Rattus norvegicus: one gene and its partners. The protein of the gene in region 2 binds, or shares a complex with, the protein of the main gene of each other region. Links are inferred from orthologs where the notes say so. Each region holds a gene or a part of one and is shown on either strand. Other genes may lie near its edges. The genes, in order: Tnfrsf13c, Tnfsf13b and Tnfrsf17.

Evidence for each region.
Region 1: the proteins of Tnfsf13b (region 2) and Tnfrsf13c are in contact, whole or in part, in a crystal structure (PDB 1OQE), measured with the Homo sapiens proteins. The link is inferred for Rattus norvegicus from reciprocal best matches to the Homo sapiens genes TNFSF13B and TNFRSF13C. Residues at the interface, in NP_006564.1 of Homo sapiens: Ser162, Tyr163, Asp203, Thr205, Tyr206, Ala207, Met208, Gly209, His210, Leu211, Thr228, Arg231, Cys232, Ile233, Pro264, Arg265, Glu266, Asn267, Ala268; in NP_443177.1 of Homo sapiens: Asp26, Leu27, Leu28, Val29, Arg30, Val33, Leu37, Leu38, Arg39, Pro41, Arg42.
Region 3: the proteins of Tnfsf13b (region 2) and Tnfrsf17 are in contact, whole or in part, in a crystal structure (PDB 1OQD), measured with the Homo sapiens proteins. The link is inferred for Rattus norvegicus from reciprocal best matches to the Homo sapiens genes TNFSF13B and TNFRSF17. Residues at the interface, in NP_006564.1 of Homo sapiens: Ser162, Tyr163, Lys204, Thr205, Tyr206, Ala207, Met208, Gly209, His210, Arg231, Cys232, Ile233, Glu238, Pro264, Arg265, Glu266, Asn267; in NP_001183.2 of Homo sapiens: Tyr13, Asp15, Ser16, Leu17, Leu18, His19, Ile22, Arg27, Ser29, Ser30, Asn31, Thr32, Pro33, Pro34, Leu35.

What each region holds. Positions count from the first base shown.
Region 1 is NC_086025.1:115,613,810-115,620,732, reverse strand, and holds Tnfrsf13c (tumor necrosis factor receptor superfamily member 13C), read left to right. Parts: upstream 1-2,085; 5' UTR 2,086-2,163; coding exon 2,164-2,308; intron 2,309-2,576; coding exon 2,577-2,780; intron 2,781-3,250; coding exon 3,251-3,429; 3' UTR 3,430-4,594; downstream 4,595-6,923. UniProt on the Homo sapiens protein: B-cell receptor specific for TNFSF13B/TALL1/BAFF/BLyS. Promotes the survival of mature B-cells and the B-cell response.
Region 2 is NC_086034.1:86,189,847-86,196,769, reverse strand, and holds the start of Tnfsf13b (tumor necrosis factor ligand superfamily member 13B), read left to right. Parts: upstream 1-2,270; 5' UTR 2,271-2,410; coding exon 2,411-2,773; intron 2,774-2,860; coding exon 2,861-2,945; intron 2,946-6,923. UniProt on the Homo sapiens protein: Cytokine that binds to TNFRSF13B/TACI and TNFRSF17/BCMA. TNFSF13/APRIL binds to the same 2 receptors. Together, they form a 2 ligands -2 receptors pathway involved in the stimulation of B- and T-cell function and the regulation of humoral immunity.
Region 3 is NC_086028.1:4,810,353-4,817,275, forward strand, and holds the start of Tnfrsf17 (tumor necrosis factor receptor superfamily member 17), read right to left. Parts: upstream 3,421-6,923; 5' UTR 3,305-3,420; coding exon 3,190-3,304; intron 2,379-3,189; coding exon 2,220-2,378; intron 1-2,219. UniProt on the Homo sapiens protein: Receptor for TNFSF13B/BLyS/BAFF and TNFSF13/APRIL. Promotes B-cell survival and plays a role in the regulation of humoral immunity. Activates NF-kappa-B and JNK.

The DNA of each region.
Region 1 (6,923 bases), on a different chromosome or scaffold from region 2:
AAGAATCCCACAGGCCTCCCTCGGCTGCCTCTAGCTTTGCCTGGCGCCTGTCTCCATTGGACCCGTAGGAAATGCCTGACAATCATTTGTGTCAAGTGACTAATTTTGCGCCCGTCCTTCCAGACATCAAACCTCCCTCTCTGGCTGAGGCGAAGGACTTTGTAGTTGTGACTGTGAGTGCCAGCCCTCTTGCTTGATACCCCGAGATGACCTCTGTCTGCTGTCAGAACCGGAACAGCTAGGGATCTTCTGTAGTGAAGTAACTCCTGCTTGCAGGCTGGCTTCCTGGCTGTTATCCTGGCCCTGGGTTCCCACAAGCCTCAGTCCATTCAGCTCCAGTGCCCGACACAAAAGCTGGGATGCCTGGTGCATAGGCAGGACTCCATGGCCCTAAGAGTGACAAGTAACAGCAGCCCAGTTAGTGACAGAGGTAGGTGTGGGCAGAGGGTTGTGGCGAAGTTTCTAGTCTTACCTTCATGCCTCTGTCCTATGAGAAAGGAAGGGCTGTCCCTGCCCTGGCTCCTCTCCATACCCTCCCCCTCCCCCCACAGCCCCATACACCCACACTAACACCCACCCCACCCCCCAGACCCCACTTCTCCTTTGCAGCTACCCTGACGCCTACACCTTCCTGCTGTGGAGTTTCTGGCCCATAGGCAAGGGGATGGACAGGCAATGGGCCAGAACCCCTAGATTGGCTGGGTCCTCAGGATCTCCTCTTGCCAATTCTAATCCCCTCACCCTATGATCAGCTCTGCATCATCCCCTAGTCTGGACCAGAGCACCTGCCTCTGTGCCTCTCCACCCAGTCTCCGACCTGAAGCAGCCAAAGGGCCCTTCCCACTAAAGTGCAGGGCAGAGAGAGACACACACTCAAAACACATGAGGTCTCCTCCATGCCAGGCCTCACACTCTGGCTGGACCCCATCCGTCCATAACAAAGGTGCTCTCCCCTCTTGCCCAGCATCCCACAGCAGTGACTAGGTCTGTTTCCAGTATGTGTAGCCCAGAGGCCATGTTTCCCCATCCCTTGAATCTGTTAAAGACATCCCTAGGTCACTAACCCTGAGAGCTCAGAGGTCTGTATGACCTACCATGAGGTCCACCAGGAAACTCCAAGCCCCAGGTCCTAGCTGACAGCTCCTCTGGCATTTTCCAGCCCAAGACCCCTGGGGAGGAGGCTGCGTATATCCAAGACCCAGAGAGCTTTGTGTGACTGAGGCTGGGTCTGAGAGATGCTGATGAGAGACAGGTGGGAGAGAACACGGGTGGATGGGTGCCAGAACCTGATACAGCAGGGGCCTGGCAAGGCTCAGATGTGAACAAGTTCATGCCCTAGGAAAGGAACTGGGGAACAGGGAGGTCCCTTGCTAATCCGCAGGGCTCCACTTGCTGAAAGTTTGTGTGGCTCCCTAGCATCCTGCTCTACCAGAGCCCAAGCCTTCTGCTATTCCAGCCTGTCCCACAGGTCACAGGTCACCTTAGCCTCCCCATCTATGACACCAGGCTCTGCCGACACTGGCCCCTTGTCTTCACCTCTCTACCAACTCCATGGCATTTTGTCAGTTAAACCTTCCTGTTACTGTTGTTGGTGATGACTTGCGTTGGTGGTCCTCAGGCCCCACACCTTACCCACTCCTGTGGAGTCCAGGGTGGCGAGGACAGGCAGTGTGCAAGGATATGGAGGACTAGAGGGCAGTGAGACTAGGAAGTCTTTTATAGGTGTTCCTCCACTGTGGCCATTCTGCCAGGCCACTCAAGACTGTTGATGTCTCGACATTGGGCAGAGCAGGAAGCAGGAGGGACTTGGAGGCAGAGAGTTAGTGGAAACAATTGGTCTTAGTGAGGCACAGCAGCAGGGGCCTGGGGAGGGTAGGTGACTGCAGGGTCCCTCTGCTGTCCAAGAGCAGGCTCTAGTGTGACATCCTCCCAACCCCCAGCGCAGAGGATGCTCAGCTGTCTGTCGTGTCTGCTGTGACAGTTGAGTGGTTTAATGCAGGAACTACAGGTGAAAGAGGTCTGGGGTTCCAGGCGAGGTCGCAGCTCCACCCCAGTGGTCCCACCCCAGCAGGCAAGGGCGGGGCGGAGGATGCTGCGTCGCGGTTTCATTCTAGACCAGAGAGACCCAGAGCCCAGACTGTCCCAGCTGCATGCGGCGGCGACATGGGCGTCAGGAGGCTCCGGGTCAGAAGCCGGAGGAGCCGGGACAGCCCGGTGTCCACCCAGTGCAATCAGACTGAGTGCTTCGACCCTCTGGTGCGAAACTGCGTGTCCTGTGAGCTCTTCTACACGCCGGAAACTAGACATGGTAAGCAAAGGCATGGGGATAGGCGTGACCTGTCCCGAGGTCTCCAGCCTACCAGGCGTGCTCCTCTGCTGACCCTGGAACCAGCGGGCCCCCTCCCCCATGGCCCTCACTGTTAGCCTCTCCCTCTTCCTCTCCCTGTCTCCCTCCCAGCCCCTCATCCCCTCATCCCCTCACCTCCCATCCCCTCACCCCTTCATTCCCTCACCCCCTCATCCCCTCATCCCCTCATCCCCTCATCCCCTCATCCCCTCATCCCCTCTACCAACAGCAAGCAGCCTGGAGCCCGGGACAGCTCTGCAGCCTCAGGAGGGCTCCGGGCTGAGACCCGATGTGGCGCTGCTCTTCGGTGCCCCCGCGCTCCTGGGACTGGTGCTGGCACTGACCCTGGTGGGTCTGGTGAGTCTGGTGGGCTGGAGGTGGCGGCAACAGCGCAGGACAGCCTCCTTGGACACTTCCGAAGGAGTCCAGCAAGGTGAGAACTGCATCTTGGGGAGTGTAAGGGCGGCTGTGGTGTGGAGGCCGCAACCCTTTGGTGATTAAGAGAGGTCAGAACGAGGACACAGGACTGAGGGAGTCCTGGAGTTGACTATGAGGCTGTCATAAAGCAGGGAGTACAGCACAGCCCAAACCTTAATCCAAGCAAGAGGATCCAGAGCCCAAGAAGAGATGTTTGGGATGAAGGTGTCTGCCCTGCCCTTGGAGAACCCAAGGGCCCTGATCCTAGGTTATGCCCAGTGGGCTGACCAGACACCCCTCTTCCAATGTTTAGAGTCCCTCACCTTTCATCAAGTCTCTGGACTCAGCACTTCCTGTCTTGAAGACTTGTCATGTGCTGTCCCACTTCCTCCTCCTAGGGCTGTCCCAGAGGAAGCTTCTAGAACAGGCGTTGGGGGCGTGGGATTCAATCCTGATCTTTCTTACCTGGTCCTTCTCCCACCCCAGAGTCCCTGGAAAATGTCTTTGTACCCCCCTCGGAAACCCTTCATGCCTCAGCTCCTAACTGGCCTCCATTCAAAGAAGATGCAGACAACATCCTGTCGTGCCACAGCATCCCAGTGCCAGCCACAGAACTGGGCTCCACTGAGCTGGTGACCACCAAGACAGCTGGCCCTGAGCAGTAGCAGCAGCGGAGAAGCCCAGGGAGCCCTACTGGGCTCATGGACTTTCACCCAACAGCTTGGAAAAGAAAAGAATTCAACCCTTCAGTGATGGAGACCTTTACCTGGGGCTGAACCCAGCAGAACCAGACACTACAGGCCACAGGCTCCCACCCGCAGGAGATTGTTTCCGTGTTAGCTTTGGGCTTGAGAACATTCCATTTTTGAGGTCGTTTTTTTAAGTTTGTGTGCCTTCCGATGGTTGGGTAGGCTTAAGTGCTGAATATTAATCTCTTTAATGAGTCAGAGACTGGAAACGAAAATCTCTTTCTAAAAATTTTGGATGACGGACTGGAGACGTGGCTCAGCAGTTAAGTATATGTGCCGTCCTAGAAGAGAACTCCAGTTGTTCAGTTCCCCAGCACTCATATCTGGCCGCTGAAAACCACCCGTAACTCAGCCCCAGGAATATCCTTGTCTGTAAAGGAACCAGCTCTCACAGCTCCAGTTTGTACACACACACACACACACACACACACACACACACACACACACACACACACACACACTTTTACAAGTTATCAAATATAAGATGGGCATGAATGGTGGCACAGGCCTTTAATCCCAACACTGGGAGGCAGAGGCAGGCAGATCTCTGAGTTGGAGGCCATCCTGGTCTACATAGCGAGTTCCAGGCTAACCAGCGCTATATGGTGAGACCAGGTCTCCAAATGATACCAAAACTGAAATCTTTTTAAATTCTGATTTTTTTCCCTTTATTATTATTATTTTTAAATTCATCTCACGGTGTTTAGAAGTGGTATACTTGGATGGTGACTAAGATGAGGTCAAGCCATCAGGACCAAGCCCCCAAGATACAAAGAGAGACAAGAGACAATGAACACGCCCCCTCCCGCCGCGTGATGGGCTGTGCCAACTCTGGACTTCACCAGACAGAGGGCAATCATCAGATGCCGGCCCTCGAACCTGAAGAGCTGTAAGCTAAAATCAATCTCATTCCTTCATAAAGTTACTCAGCCTTGGGCGTTTCGTTACAGTAATATAAAACTGACTAACACAGGCGCTATGAGTAAGAGGTTTTTTCCTTTCAGCTGGGGGCGGGGAAGGTACTGTTAAACCAAAATTAATCTAAATAAAGAAAGGCTGTGGGGAAGATGCATAATCTGTACCTGGGTGCTGTGTTTTTTTAATTCCTGCTGTGGGCGCTGTTCTGCTTTGAAGCAGCTGCTGATGGTCGTTGGGCTGTGGTATTTAGTACAAGATTCTCTGTAATTTTATCTTTCACTGTACTGGGGACCAGACCCATGCTACACAGCACTCCACAGTGAGCTACACCCTAGTTGTAAGATCAGTTTTCAGAATAAGCGGGGAGTAGAGGAGAGGCCTGGGCAGAGTAGTGCTGAGTCTCTGGTGTCTGTAACCCATGGATTTCTTTGACCGAGTCTGCCAGGACATGTAAGATGCCATCTTCACCATGATGGCTGTTTCTAGAGACCTGTGATTCATAGGCGGAGGTCTGTAGTCTCGGGTTGGAGTCTAAATGGAAGCTGATGGAACATCCTGGTGGTAATCTTTCTCAGAGGCCAGCTGGAGGCCACTATGAGCAGTGCGCTGGGCAGTGACCTATGCAGCAACTCCCTCACAGAGAGGCCAAGGCAGGCCTGGGGCTCTGCAGCAGGCCGAGCTCAGATCCTTTGTGCTCTTTCTGTGAACCGTTCTCCCCTTGAGCTGGGCTTTCTTGGCCTAGCTTGTGCTGACCCGAGGCTCGACCACCCCTGTGGAAGCTGCCCCCCAACCCCCGACAGTGAGGCTCTTGGCTCTGAAGCTACCAATTCTCTCTATCTAGTTCCTGGGGTACATTGCACACTCAGAGGGAGCCATCATGCCTCCTGCCTGCCCTCTTCCTCACAGGGAAGCCAAACTTTAGCTTGTATAGGAAGGGAATCAGAAGTGGACCCATTCTGCGGGGTCTTGTCTGAATCCTGGCCCTGCCTTCCAGTCCCTCTGAACTCACCACAGCTGCCTGGCAACACTTGGCTTTCCCGCACACTCCCTTTCTAGCTTAGAAAATGGTACCCAGTGGCAGTTAGAGCCTCCAGGACCTGAACATTCATTTCTAAGATGCCCCTCTCTCCAGGGGTCAGGCGAGGAGTAGGGTGAGATCGAATGACAACGGTAGGTGACACAGGCATCAGTCAGGCCATTGCTGTCCACTCTAGCCTGGGGCTGGTGGAGTCTGAACTGTCCCTGGCCACCTGGCTATAACCAGGGTCTAGGCTCTGGGGGTGAAAAAAGCTAGTGAAACCCCCATGGGGCCCTGACATACAAACCTTTGGCACCCCTCCATCCCAGCTAAGCCTCTGGCTGGTACATGGTTTCCCTCAGTCTCAGTTTCTTTTGAGAAATGGGGGATGGGTACAAAGTTCTCTCTCTGGTCTTCGGCCAATAAAGGAGAAGAGTGGGAAGGAACCTGAGAGAAGTCACACACACGTCCCCATTTCATAGTGAGGACACCGAAGACCAGGCCGTGAGAGAACCTGGCATCGTCTTTGTCATAATTAAGAAGGGAGCTCTTTGGGAAAGGCAGGAAAAGCAATTGGAGGGGGAAAAGGAGTGGGGACACTACCCCCCCACACACAGTGGGGACACTACCCCCCCCACAGTGGGGACACTACCCCCCCCCCACACACACACAAGGGCTGTACTGCCAGACAGTGAAATTAGCACTCCCTACTCCCACCTCCCCCACCCCCTTCCTCCTTGTCATAGGTGTTACTTTCTGAGGGGTCCTTGTCCATTCTGCACTTCATCTCCCTAACAATGGCTGGAAGTGGGAAGGGACTCATGTCTGGTTAAAACAATTAGTAAAACCTAAATCAAGGGACTCTTTTGCATGTGAGCTGAAAGGGTCATCGTGATGTCCTCAGTGGAGGCTGAGGAGAGCTGGCCGTGGCCCAGAGAGGACCAGCCTCTGTGTATGCTGTCATCTATAATGTCAGCTATAACCGTACTTGAAAGTCCCATCTCGGGTCAAAGACAGCTCTCGGAGTAAAGGTGCTTGCTGCCAATCCTGGAAACCCAAAAGTGATCCCAGACCCACGTGGAGGAAAGAGAGTCCTGACTCTTGTAAGCTCCCATAAGCTGTAACTCCGCTAGTGTACACTGCCCCCCTCCCCCAGCTTTTTCCTTCCAAGTTCCATCGTGAAAGTCACATTCAGTAGGTTTCTGTCTTTAAACACTCCCAGTTGGGCTTTTTGACGCTTGTCAAGTTTTCCACCTGAGCATCTGGTCCCTTGAAGGCTCTGCTGGTGTCACAGGCACAGAGCAAGCACTTCCTTTCTGCAAAACCTCAAGTGGTGTCTTTTTCCAGAAGGACCAAAGGGACAATGGCCTTGACCTTTCTTTCCCCTTTTTCTTTTTTTTTTTTCCGGAGCTGGGGACTGAACCCAGGGCCTTGCGCTTCCTAGGCAAGCGCTCTACCACTGAGCTAAATCCCC
Region 2 (6,923 bases):
GGTGCTGTGTCTTGGTCTCACACTCCTTCTAGTCATTTAATTTCTGTACGTCATTTGGTAATAAAACATGACTGAGATATGTGCTTGATTTTGAAGCAGTGTTTTACTATGGAGCCCAGGCTAACATTGAACTCACAATCCTCCTATCTCGGCCTATCATGTGGTGGAATTCTAATCCTACCATTAAGTCTCATGAGTGAGTCTTAATGTCTTAGTCTCTGAGTGGAGGTCCCTATTACTACCAGTAGTCATTGCCTGTGATGCTGGACTGAAGCTCAGTCACCCAAATATCGTTTGATGTCAGACCTAAAGAAAAGTCACGGGGCTGGAGAGATGGCTCAGTGGTTAAGAGCACTGACTGCTCTTCCCGAGGTCCTGAGTTCAAATCCCAGCAACCACATGGTGGCTTACAACCATCTGTAATGAAATCTGATGCCCTCTTCTGGTGTATCTGAAGACAGCTACAGTGTACTCATAGATAATAAATAAATAAAATATTAAAAATTTAAAAAAAAAAGAAAAGTCACCCACATACTTAATATCCTATTTTCACTTTGGAGATTAGAGAACAGCTCGTTTGGGGGGTAAAGATTGCAGCCACTGGCTTACAAAGTTCTTTAGAACTCACATAACGAAAGAAAGGAAAGCCTGCAGTCCCAATGAAGAAGACTCCTAGCATCACTCGGGGATGAGTTGGGAAATGACAATCCAACAGCATTTCTTTTTGACACTTTGCAAAAGGGAAGATGTGTCTTGGTGGGGACCCCCTGCAGATATTACTGTGACAATCATAAAAATACCAATTTTAGCACTGAGTACCACAGCAAGAATCCTCCCTCTGTGCTGTGGTGGTGGTGCATACCCGTAATCCCAGCACTTAGGAGGCAGAGGCAGGTGGGGTGGTCTCTGAGTTCTAGGCCAGCCTGGTCTATGGAGAGAGTTCCAGAACATCGAGGGATATGCAAAGAAACCATGTCTTGCAAAAGAAAAGAAAAGAAAAGAAAAAGAAAGAAGGAAAGAAAGAAAGAAAGAAAGAAAGAAAGAAAGAAAGAAAGAAAGAAAGAAAGGAAGGAAGGAAGAAAGGAAGAAAGAAAGAAAGGAAGAAAGAAACTGATCTAATTCTGTAATTGACATAGGGAAAGCCAGGCACAGAAGCAGGATGGGTGGCTGGGAAGCCTCCCTCTGGAGTTCTTGCAGCTGTGCATCCTTGTTTCTGAGATTTTCTTCTTAAGCTTAGGAGGGAAGGCAGCATAAGGCTAAACCCCAGCAGCCTGAAGTTTATACAGTGACTAAGCTAAATCCTCAATGGCCTATACTGAAAGATAAATGGATGTTGAGGTACCAGGCCCCCAACCAGCCTTCCAGACCAGGAAAGACTAAAATGAATGAAACAGTGTCTGCATGTCACCAAGCCCAAGCACAGACTGAAGACATTCTGTGTCCATAGCTGTGAAATGAGTGCCATCAATGTGGAGATCCTACATCAGCTCCTAGCACAGGTCACGGTGTGTGCGTGTGTGCATGTGTGTGCACACGTGTGTGTGTGTGCATGTGTGTGTGCGTGTGTGCATATGTATGTGCACACATGTGTATGTGCGTTGTGTGTGTGCATGTATGTGCATGTGTGTATGTGCGTATGTGCGTATGTGCGTATGTGTGTGTGTGCGTGTATGTGTGTGTGTGTGTGTGTGTGAGAGAGAGAGAGAGAGAGAGAGAGAGAGAGAGAGAGAGAGATCTGAGCCTAACAGCTCTCTGACACCGAGTCTCAAAGGCAAAGAGGAAGCCATGCTTCCCTGTAATCCACCCCACATTTAAAGAGTCCCCAGTGTGGCCTTAAATAGATCTCTACCACGTTCTCTTCGTTGTCATGTCAAGATGAGAGCAGAGAACTTCGGGTGGAGTTCACTCCGCTTTATGACACTCCATTTCGTCTTCCACCGGGGAGCTGTTAGCTTCCTTGTCCTGCAGCCAAATGCAGTTCATGCTCGAGCACTGGGCTTATCTGACTTGCACATTAATTATCCTTTATTACACCACTAGGCCTTCAGTGTCCCCTTTCCTCTTCCTTAGAAACCATGTGGCTCCAAGTAGACAGTTCTTAAGGGCATGCCGAAGGGAAAGCACCTTCGATAAACTTGTCTGGAGTAAGCCAGTCTGAATCTCAAGCTGCTCCCAGCCGTCGTGTCAGAGGCCTCATATCTCCCACAAACAGGACTATATTGAGATAGAATGAAAAATCTTACAAAAACTGAAAGTGAAATGCGGAAGACAGATTGAGCAATCAATGGAAGGCCAGAGCCAGAGAACCTACTTCAGGGTAGCAAAAGATGCAGAAGAGAGAAAGTCAGGAGAGTGCCATGCTCTGAGGGCAGCCTCCTGAGACACAGATGACAGGAAATGACCTACCCCCATGGTCACTTACTCCAAAGGCCCAGACCTTCAAAGTGCTCCTCTTGGAATGGATAAGTCTGCAAAGAACCTGCCACCACCGCGCCTCTGTTTTTGCCCTGAGAAAGGAGAAGATATGAAAGTGGGATATGTTCCCATCACTCCGCAGAAGGAGGGTGCCTGGGTTGGGATCTGCAGGGACAGACGGCTGCTGGCTGCTACCCTCCTGCTGGCTCTGTTGTCCAGCAGTTTCACAGCGATGTCCTTGTACCAGTTGGCTGTCCTGCAAGCAGACCTGATGAGCCTGCGCATGGAGCTGCAGAGCTACCGAAGTTCAGCGACACCCGCCGCCCCGGGGGCTCCAGGGTTGTCCGCGGGAGTCAAAGTGAGTTCACTCCCCCGCTCTGCCTGTGCAGGAGCACCAGGTATGACACTCTGCTGCTGTCCAGTAACTGGTTGTCTCTATTCCCAGCTCCCAACACCCGCAGCTCCTGGACCCCACAACTCCAGCCGAGGCCAAAGGAACAGACGCGCTTTCCAGGGACCGGAGGAAACAGGTATGACTGGGGCACAGCAGTTAGGAGCTGGGGCGGTGCTGTGCACACCTGCACCCGCCCGGCGGCGGCGGTGAGCAAAGCACTTTGTGTGGCTTTGTAGCAAATGCAATAGGCTGCGTGGCGTGCCTTCCCCTACACTGAGCAGGGCATGTGGACAGGAGGATAGGGTGCACGTATCCCTCACAGTGATGGTGTGCTCAAGAACTTAGCAGCAGAGTTCTTCCTGTCACCGCAGAGTCATGTGACCACCTGGATCTTGGTTAAGAAGCCATTCCCTAGCATTTTTCAGATTTCCCTTGTTCTAGCAAAGTTGAGGTAGGACAAACCCTGCATTATGAGGGTTTACTAATTTTTTTCTTAACACATACACGCGCACACTCACACGGTGGGGGCAGGTGCAAACCACACAGAAATGGCAAAGACTGTAATGTACCCTTGCCACATGCAACATAATTCCCGCGTAATCATTCTGCTGTGGCTTTGGTGATTTCTGTCCATTCTCTAGCGTTTTGCAGAGTTGGGAGCTACTAAAAATGAACTTTTCTTCTTACTTCATGGGGGAAAAAGAAGCAATACTTGTCTGTTAGCAATACGATTTAACACATCCCTGCTGTTGTCTGCTTTTTTATTCTTATAAAAAATTTACCCGATAATCCGAGTTAAAAATACCTAAAAATAAGTTAAAATAATTTCAACTGAGTTAAAATTAACTTTAAGTTATTAAGTGACTTAAAAATAAACAACAAAAATTATTGAGTTCTAAGTTACATGCTAAAAGAGTGCGTGGAGTTATTACATGCACTGCAGAACTAAACATTTTGCACAAATTTGAAATTTACTGTATTCAGTGTGAGTGACCTTCTATCTTTTTTTGCTGAAATGATTTTAGCATATATAGTGCGATGTATACAATACTAGCACACATGCCACAATGAGGGAATAATAGCACACAGTTACAGAGCATCACATGCTATATATTACGGTGTATGTAATAATAGCTCATAATCACAGTACATATAACTGTATAAGCACTATACCCTGCTTTATTCTGTTTTTTATTTTACAACAAGTATCTCACAGACTTCTTAGTAATTCCCTTGGTCTAATCTACTATTTGTCTTTTAAATAATTATTTTATTGTTACTGTGATTGATACAAGATACACACAAATTTTTTGTGTATCTCTTGTTTCTGAGGAATTATGCATTCGATAGAACCATAGTTTATTATTCGACTTTCTTACTCTGAACTCTTTGGGTCACAGGTTTCTATGTACTCATTAGCATTCCGTCCTTATACCTTCATTTTGATAGTTTTATAGCTTCGCCTTGCTTCTCAAGTTTAAGTGTGAACCCCATTCTCTAATTGTAAATATTTTTCACGTGTTCTTATTTTACTTTCAATTTTATGTTTTTTTTAAGTTTTGTCGATTGGCTGGCTATCTAGCCTATGTTTTTTTTTTTTTTTTTTTTTTTTTTACAATTTGACGTTGATGTAAATACTTGCACTGCGTCTTGTATTTTCTTCAAACCTATAGAGAGGTGTGGTGTGTTTATTAAAGAGATTCTTGTTTCCGCTGGTTTAAGTTAAAGCCCCTGGCTCCCTAAGTAGCAAGCTACGATCCCCTTTACTTGCCTCTTGTTTTGACTAAGTGTCCCTTTGCTCCTAACCTATTAATCCTGTGTCTCTTATTGTGGTAAAGCCTCTCACACTGGTATAACTTCCTCCTTTCTCCATCCCGCTTCAGGCTGTTGTCTCAAACAAAAGCATGAAAGTGTTCTCCAGAATGCTTGTGCTGGTGAACTTGGGGCATCAAGTTCTTTATACGCGACTGAATTTATGTGAGATAGTTTTATCGCCAGCTTCTTCCTCTACCCTTCTGCTTCATATGGACTAAGTAGTTTTACATTTTAGTGGACATCAATACACAGTCAGGCAGGGTGCCACAGTGATCTTAAGTCATGTCTCCTACACTTCCAGGCTTCCTAAAGACTGGTTTCAAAAATAACTTTGCCATTCTAAAGAGGACATAGACTCATTTTAAAAGGTTTAAGAGTAAAGAATAGGAGAGAATTATGGTGTATGTCTTTAATGCCAGCACGTGGGAGGTAGAGTCAGGCAGAACTTTGTGAGTTCAACACCCAGCCTGATCTATATGGAAAGTTCTGGACCAACAGGGCTACATAGGAAGAAAAAGGAGAGGGGGAGTGGGGGAGGGGGGGAGAGAGAGAGAGAGAGAGAGAGAGAGAGAGAGAGAGACTAGGTTAAATATCCTATAATGATATATTTTAAATAATTTTCACATTTGCATATTTTATAGGTTTGTGATTTTGTGCATCCAAATATTTCAGGCTGACGAAACTGGAAGAGGAAAATTAATTAATAATTTGTAAAATTTAAAGAATAATGTACTGTCAATATATGATACACATATTTTGTTTTTTCTTCATTTATATTTCCCCAATACTCATAAATCCAAGATAAGAAAGTTGCAGATCTGAGTCTCAAGGAAGGGAAATGTCTCCTGTTCCTGGACAATTAAAGTATCGACTCTTGTTTCCTATACTCTCCTTCTGAATTAGGGAAACGTACTTTATCAGTGACCACTGTGATTATCTACTAATCCACAAAAGTTATCTGAAACACAAGGATTTTCTATTGGTTTACTGGAGTCTTATTTTTTTATTGATAAAAGCGTGTTTATTTTTGTAAATTTTGTTACACCTGGTTGTTCTGACTGTTTTCTTGGACTTGAACTAACCTTGGTGTGTTCCTTTTACTTTCACAAGTGTCCGCTGAGGCTTTTACTGGGAACTGCTTACATCTGTTTCTGAGCTGTGGGTATCTCCATTCTCTCTCTTCTGACAGCAGTAGAAGAGAAAGGCAGACCCACACAAGTCCTCTGAGTCCTCTGGGGATAGAGTACTTTTACTTAATTTTAAAACAGCATTTTGGCATACTTTTTTAAGTTATTTTGAATTTGAATTATATTTTATTAAGCTTAGTGCATTTTATAAGGTCATTTTATTGCAATACGATAAACAGAAATGTGGGGAAATCCAGGATTAAACAATTGCCAAATAGCTTATCATAACCAACAATTCACTCTTAATCCTTTAAATGTGTTTGGAAAGATTCTTAATAATAATAAGAGAAAAACCTAAAGCAGCATAATCTGAAAATATTACATAATCCAGTTTCCTTAAAACTGCCCTCACATTGGCCTGTGCTTTGACCCTTCACAAGCTATGATTTTATCCGTTTCACAGTCCACATAAGAATATCTTTAGAGCCTACGAAGGTGACTTCTTTCAAACAGCTTATGGGCAAACGAAATTAGCCTGTCATCCCAGCTACTCTGGAGCTAAGGAAGGAGGATCACATGATGAGTTCAGTCCCTGCCTGAGGCAGCCGAGTGAATCCTGCCTCAAATCAAAATAAAACAAGGAAAGAGGAGGCAGCTCAGTGGTCCAGCTTCTGCCTCGCATGCACGGGACCGGAGGAGGCAGCTCATTGGTCCAGCTTCTGCCTTGCATGCACGGGACCCCAGGATCAAACTTCAGCATTTCCTCACTTGTCTGTCTACAGGGAAAGTTGAAATAACTGTTTTAGATTCTAAAAAGACAAAGCTCTTTTAAAGAAACATTGTATTGACTATTCTGCGCATAACATTTATCAAAGCTCCTGCAACAGTAGCAGTGGCAAAGCAGAGGTGGAAACAGGGACAATTATGAGACATAAGGGAGGGCAGAGGGGCCCAAAGATCACAAGAGAACAAGGACTAGGATCATTTAAAATTCACAACCCTGAAAGAAATATCTGTACTTTATTGCCAAATAATGATCGGACAACTTGGGTCACTTTGCCTTGTTTTTTATCCGTGTTACACAGACTTCTCAGTTTGGAATCGGTTTTGAATTATACAGGGTTGCAAAGATAGTTCAGAGCCTCTGGGAATACTTCCGTCCAGCTTCCCTT
Region 3 (6,923 bases), on a different chromosome or scaffold from region 2:
CATATACAAGTAGTACGCACACATGTATGAGACTAAACACCCACATACATAAAAATAAATAATAAAACATCTAATTCAGAGTTGCTCTAGAAATACACAAAAAGTGGAAGGGAAAAGCCTGCCTGACCTTGCTTCCATGTGAAGCAAAAGAAGCCACTTACAGAACAATGGCAGAGTGGTAGTTACCAGAGGCGAGGAGGTGGGGGAAATGAGAAGCAGGTGGCCGGAAGTCCAGGGCTGCAGTTACATAAGCTGCATCTGTAGAGCCAGCGTGTGACAAGGTGACTGGATAGCACTGGAGCACTTCAAATAGCAGAGAGTAGATACCAGCCACCCTCACCACCAGGAGGAATGGAGCAGGGCTGGGGATGGAGCTCCGTTGGCAGAGCTCGCCCAGCCTGCCCAGGAGGCTGTGGATTCAACCCCAGAACAGCACAAACCAGGACTGATAGTACACACCTGTAAAGCCAGCCCCAGAGAGGTGGCCGCATGAGGACTGGAGAGGCTCAAGGTAGTCCTGAGATACAGAGTCAAAGGCCAGCGGTGATACATGAGACCCAATCACCAAAAGGTCAACTGTGTGAAGATGTGGATGCATTTGACTGTAGTCACTGTCTCCCTATGTGTCTGTATTCAGAACATTATGTCATGTATTTTTATATGTACAATTTGTATGTTAAAAAATTTCGGGGTTGGGGATTTGGCTCAGTGGTAGAGCGCTTACCTAGGAAGCGCAAGGTCCTGGGTTCGGTCCCCAGCCCCAGAAAAAAAAAAAAAAATTCACTCTAGGTTTGAAGAGGTGGCTGAGTGGTTAAGAGACGATACCATTCTTTGAGTCTCTAGCATCCACTCGTAACTTCAGCTAGAGGGGATCTGGTGCCTGCCCACTTCTGCCATCCAGAGGTACTGTGCTCACATGCACAAAATATGAAGCCCCTTCCTGATGACATCTAGTCTGTGATCCAGTTCTGAATCAACTCATTGACCATTCCAGGTCAGGCAGCCATGGGGCTCCTGCTTTTGGTTAAACCACTCTCAGCCATACACATATACATATAACTTTAAAAACAATGAAAATGCATTCTTTTGTCTACCAGACCACATGGAGAAAAGAGTGAGTGAGTTTCTAGCTACTCCTGCTGCACAGGAAAGCAAATGGAGTAGGTGCTTTGCAGAAACAAAATGGTTAAAGAAGCAGGACAAGGGCTGTGAACACAGCTTAGTGGATACAGATTTGCAGCATGAGGACCCTAGTTTAAATCTCTAGTGCACTGGTGACAAGCATGTGCCTGTAACCTCCCAGTGGCAGAGGTGGGACCGAGACAGCAAAGCTGAAACCCCTTGCTTCTGCCCCACTGAGAGCCTGTCTCATGGCAACAGGGAAGGGAGTAACGGAGGGAGATAACCAGTGTCCTACTGTAGCCTCATGTGCACACGAGCCTGTGCACGCTCACTTTCATGCACCACACACACCATAAGAAAAAGGATTCAGGACCATGGCTGCTGTGTGTCTAAGAATCAATTCACAGAGAACAGTGCTATAAAGACATTTTTAGCCTAAGAGGCCCTCAAGTTGAGCATCTACTTCCCTGAGACTGGCACTCTGTTGCTTAATAATTATCCTTGAGATGGCTAGTGAACCAGGTTATTCAGTTTCAGCATTTTGGGCAGTAAAACATTCACAGTAAAACATTTGAATTGTATTAAAACCAAGATCATGGATCTTGCCAAATACTCTTTGCCTGAGAGTACCAGGCTGTGGTCCAGTATCGATACAATATCTCATTGGTGTGCTACATTGAGTCAAAGACACTTTCCAGAGAAGTCTCAAAGGCAGTTACCCAGAGAACTGGGGGGATGGGCCTTGAAAGGAGCCCTGCAAAGTAGGGGTCGATGTCACAATGTCTCTGTTTTGTTTTGTTTGGGGGACAGTGGTAGGCTTGGTTTGTTGTCATCTTGGAGACTCTTCGCCCCGCCTGAGCTCACACTCAATAGCTGAGCATGACCCTCACCCCTTTACCCCTTTGATCCTCCTGCCTCCACTCCCTACGTGCTAAGATGACAGGCATGTGCCACCGCTTCCAGCTCAAAATTTCAAGTAACTACCCACTAACACATTTGAAAGTGCTGTAACAGCAACAAAAAAGCCAAAGTTAAAAAAAGAAAAGGAAATGAAACTTGGAAGAGCTGCCCTTACAGAAATAGATTCCAAGACTCACCGTCAAGATGGCCTGGGCTTTGAGGCTTGTCCTTCAGGGCCTCCGGGTTCATCTTCCTCAGCAAGAAAGAGAGTGTGAAAAGTGCCAAACAGACGACCAAGGTCAGGCCCAAGAAGATCCAGAGAACCGTGTACGTCCCTCTCACTGAGCTGGTCATGCCTTTATCAAAGGAATGTCACAAAATGTACGTCCCTCTCACTGAGCTGGTCATGCCTTTATCAAAGGAATGTCACAAAGCAATGCAGCCAGGGCTCAGGATTCACACCTTCCTGACACTCGACTCCCTAGTGCATACTCATGAGCATCTTACTTGGGCTTAGACAAGGTCTCCTGTCAATCAGACTGGCCTCAAACCCAGCCGTATCCAAGGAGGACCTCTGGTCTCCACCTCCTATGTAAGTGCTGCAGTTACAGCAGCACCACGACCATACAGGCTGCTGGGACAGAGCCCAGGGCTGTGTGCATGCTAGCCCGGTGCGCCACCAGCTCATCTCCAGCTCAGTTCCTTTCGTTGTTTATGGGACAGGACCCTATTCTAGCCCACGCTGCCTTCACAGGGGTCGCATATCAGATAGCCTGCATATCAGACATTATGATTCATAACAGTAGCAAAAGCAGTTAGGATGTAGCAATGAAAATAATTTTATGGTCTCCACAAATGAGCAACTATCAAAGGGTTGCCACTTAGGAAGGTTAAGAACCACTGAGTTAGAGGCATGCACTGCCCATCCCTGGTTGACTTTTAAATTCTGAGTACCACTTAATTAAGAGCTGATAAATAAAATTGAGTCTGGTTCTGAATAATTCCCTTTGATCCAGGAGACATTTAAATTATCTTTTCTGGTTTTGATTCAGGAAAAGAAAAGAAAAATCTCCCCATCTCCTCTGTAACATTTGCTCTCTGGTAGATGGGCAGCATGTCAGGAGACTGCTCCCCACCAAGAAGCAACTATTGAGAAGCCGCACTTACTTGGATCACAGTAAGGCTGACAGGGTGCAGGAGGGTTGGAACATCGCAGGCGACACGGTTTGCAAGCATGCAGCAGACTGTCAAAATATTCACTGTGGAAGCACCGCTGAGCCATGGGGGACTGGAGCACTGAAAGACACGGGAAGAACAGACAAAAGAGTGTGGAAGGACAGCAGGTTCTCTGTGGAGAGAAAGATCCTGACTGCTCTTAGGAGGGCTGCAGGTATCGGGGTGGAGGATCTGAATACCTCTCTTTCTGATCCTCCGTTTCTAAGAGGCTTGGGCGGGGCAGCAGAGGGGTATATCACAGCAAACCATTCCTGAAACAGAAACCACCTATTTATAGAGGAGAGTCACCACCCAGGTAGCAGTTGCAATGTGGACAAGCTTGGGGCGTCAAGCTGAAAGTCCAGCTGCCATTTATGGATCATCTGTTTTGGGGCTGTATGACAAGACAGGCAAGACGAGGACTGCATCCCTTACATACCTAATGTCAACAGGGAAGACAAACTGGAGGCTGGAGCCAGTGGTGGCAGTGGCTGACCCAGAGGACAGACAGGAGGGAGCTGTCAACTCTGGCTACCAGGTGTCCTTTGGCAGTTGAGTTAAAGCAGGAGGTTGACGGGGCTCATCTGAGGGCACTGTGTCCTGACAGTTAATAGCATCCCCGCGGGTGCAGAGGTGTGACCTTCACTCCCAGCCCTCCGGACACAGAGGCCGGTGGGTCTCTGTGAGTTTGAGGCCAGCTTCATCAATAAGTGCTACATAGAGAGGCCCTGTCTCAAAAACAAAAACAATAATCCAAGACACATCCTCAGAAAGAAGCGAGCCTTACCATCCCCTGGAGATGATTGGAGACTTGGACTTACGGCTCATGCACATATGCTGTATCCTACGCGATCTGTAAAGTCGGAGTTAAGGGTTCAAACTTGAGTGTCACGGAGCCATGCCTATAGCCGCAGGACCCACGAGGCAGAGGCAAGGCGGTCTCCAGTGGAAAGCCAACAAGATCCTGTCTCAAAAAAAAAATTGTTTTAGTTTTAGGTTTTTTTTTTTTTTTCCGGAGCTGGGGACCGAACCCAGGGCCTTGTGCTTGCTAGGCAAGCGCTCTACCACTGAGCTAAATCCCCAGCCCTGTTTTAGTTTTTGAGACAGGGTTTCTCTAAGTAGTCCTGCATGTCCTGGAACTCACTCTGTAGACCAGGCTGGCTTCTAACTTACAGAGATCCACCTGCCTCTGCCTCCTAAGTGCTGGGATTAAAGATGTGTGCCACCACCAAAGCATGGGATAAAAGCACATGGGTAGTGAGGCCCACTGAACTACACTGAAGCAACCTTGTCATGAGACTACCTTAGGGGCTGAAGTGATGGTTCAGCAATCACACTGGCTGGACAGACAAGGGACCTGGCTCTGAATCCTAGCACCCTGTGAACATGGTAGTTCACAGCCATCTGTGACTCCAGCCCCTGGGATCCACTACACTTTTCTAGCCTCCATGGAGACCAGGCACACACATGGTCACAGACATACATGTGGGCAAAACACTCAGACACATAAAGTAAAATATAAATAAAAATAAAAATACATGATTGAACTAGGTTGTGCTGGCACACCCCTTTAATCCACCACTCAGGAGGCAGAGGCAGGCAGATCTTTGTGATTTCAAGGCCAGCCTGGTCTACAGTACAAGTTCCAGGACTGTTTCCTGGAGAAACTCTGGCTTGAAAAACATAAATGAATGATGAATGAATGAATGAGTGAGTGAGTGTGAGTGAGAGAGTGAGTGAGTGAGAGAGTGAGTGAGTGAATGAGTGAGTGAATGAATGATGAGTGAGTGAGTGAGTGAGTGAGTGAGTGAGTGAGTGAGAGAGTGAGTGAGTGAATGAATGAATGAATCCGTGCCATTGCCTTATCCTGGAAACTTCAAGGGCTGTGTGGCTTACCTATTGGAAGCCTGGGTAGATACTCTGTAGGACAGATTATTATGTACTCAGTCTACAAAGATGACTTGGTGGGTTAGGGACACTTTTCGGGCAGTCACGAGGACCAGTGTTGGAATCCCAGTACACACATAAAACACTTATAACTTCAGCTGGGATTTATGGGCTTACAGCCTACCTGATAAAACAAGAGCTTCAGCTAAGGGACAGTCTTTTGTTTCAAAGGAATGAGTGATGAGTCATAAAAGACATTTGACACCTGTCCTCCAACACACATAGGCACATGCATCTATATACCTGCACTCACAGGGTTAAACAAAGGTATACACGAATTAAACATATATGTCGACATGGCATAGTAGCACATGTCTTTAATCCCAGCATTCAGGAGATAGGCAAGCAGATCTCATGAGTTCAAGGCCAACCTAGTCTACATATCAAGTTCCAGAGCAGCCAGGCTATGCCTCAAAAACAACTGCTACTATCAATACTAATACTAATAATAACAATTATAAGTTACCAATTGTAATACATTTTATAAGCCAAAACCTGTGTTCATTCCACCCTTGACGTCTTTGTAAGTATAATGGGCAGTTAAGAAAATGGTTTGTGATTCAGATGCCTAAAAACAATTGCAGCTTTCCACATGTCCTAAAGTATGGAGAGATGCATGCGCTCTCTCTGAGCAGCCCTGATGGACAGCACTCCTTACAGAGACAGGGACAGAAGGCAGGCAGACTGAACAGATCTGCTCATGCCTTTTCCTTGTTACTTAATCAGAATCACTTCAGTTTGGTTTGGGTTTTATTTATTTGGTTTTGTTTTTTCCAGGTAGGTTTTCTTTCTTTTTGTTCTTTTGGGGTTTTTTTTTTGGGGGGGGTGTTTGTTTGTTCTTGTTTTTATTTTGGTGTGCTTGTTTTCTGTGTTTTGATTTTTTGAGACAGGATCTCATACTCACTATGTGACCGAGGCTGTCCTCAAACTAACAACGCTCTCTTCCTGCCTTGGACAGTGCATACCTGTCATCTCAGAACTTGGCAGACGCAGAGAGGAGGCTTGCAGTTTAAGGATGAGCTTCCAATTCAATGAGAAACCCTGTCTTAAAAGGTGGAGAGAGATAGAGGAGACACCAGTGTCCTCTCTGTCTTCTTCACACATGTCCACCACAAACACACACACACACACACACACACACACACACACACACACACACACACACACACATTAGTTCATTAACAAACAGAATTCCAATGAAGAAATGGATCTAAAGTCAGATTCTTCCACAGGAGGTGACAGTGTATCAAGAGAGTGGGATCACTGAGGGCAGCAGTGGCTCATCTAGGAAGTCCTATATGCTCAGCTCCTACCAAAATGGAACCTCGAAAGACAAGCCAACAGCAGGACCAGAACAGTTGGAGAAGCAAGAGAGCACCAGGATGATAGCCGCTCACAGCCAAACAGCAAGAGCATCTCAGGGAGGCTTACACAGTGGATACACTTTGCATATGATCAGGTCTGATGCACTAATGTTGGAGCCCTAAACATGGGTGAAGAGGATGAGGAGGCACTTGGTATGAGGTGTGCCCAAGAAGTCAGGTGGAGACAAGAAAGCCATAGTGTCTTGGAGTGTGGTGAGGGGAGAGGGATGTACTGGCTAGTTTTATGTTAACTTGATACAAGCTAAAGTCATCTAAAAGAGGGGCCCTCACTTACAAAAATGCTTCCACAAGACCAGACTGTAGGCAAGCCTGGGAGACATTTTCCTAATTAGTGATCGATGAGGAGGACCCAAC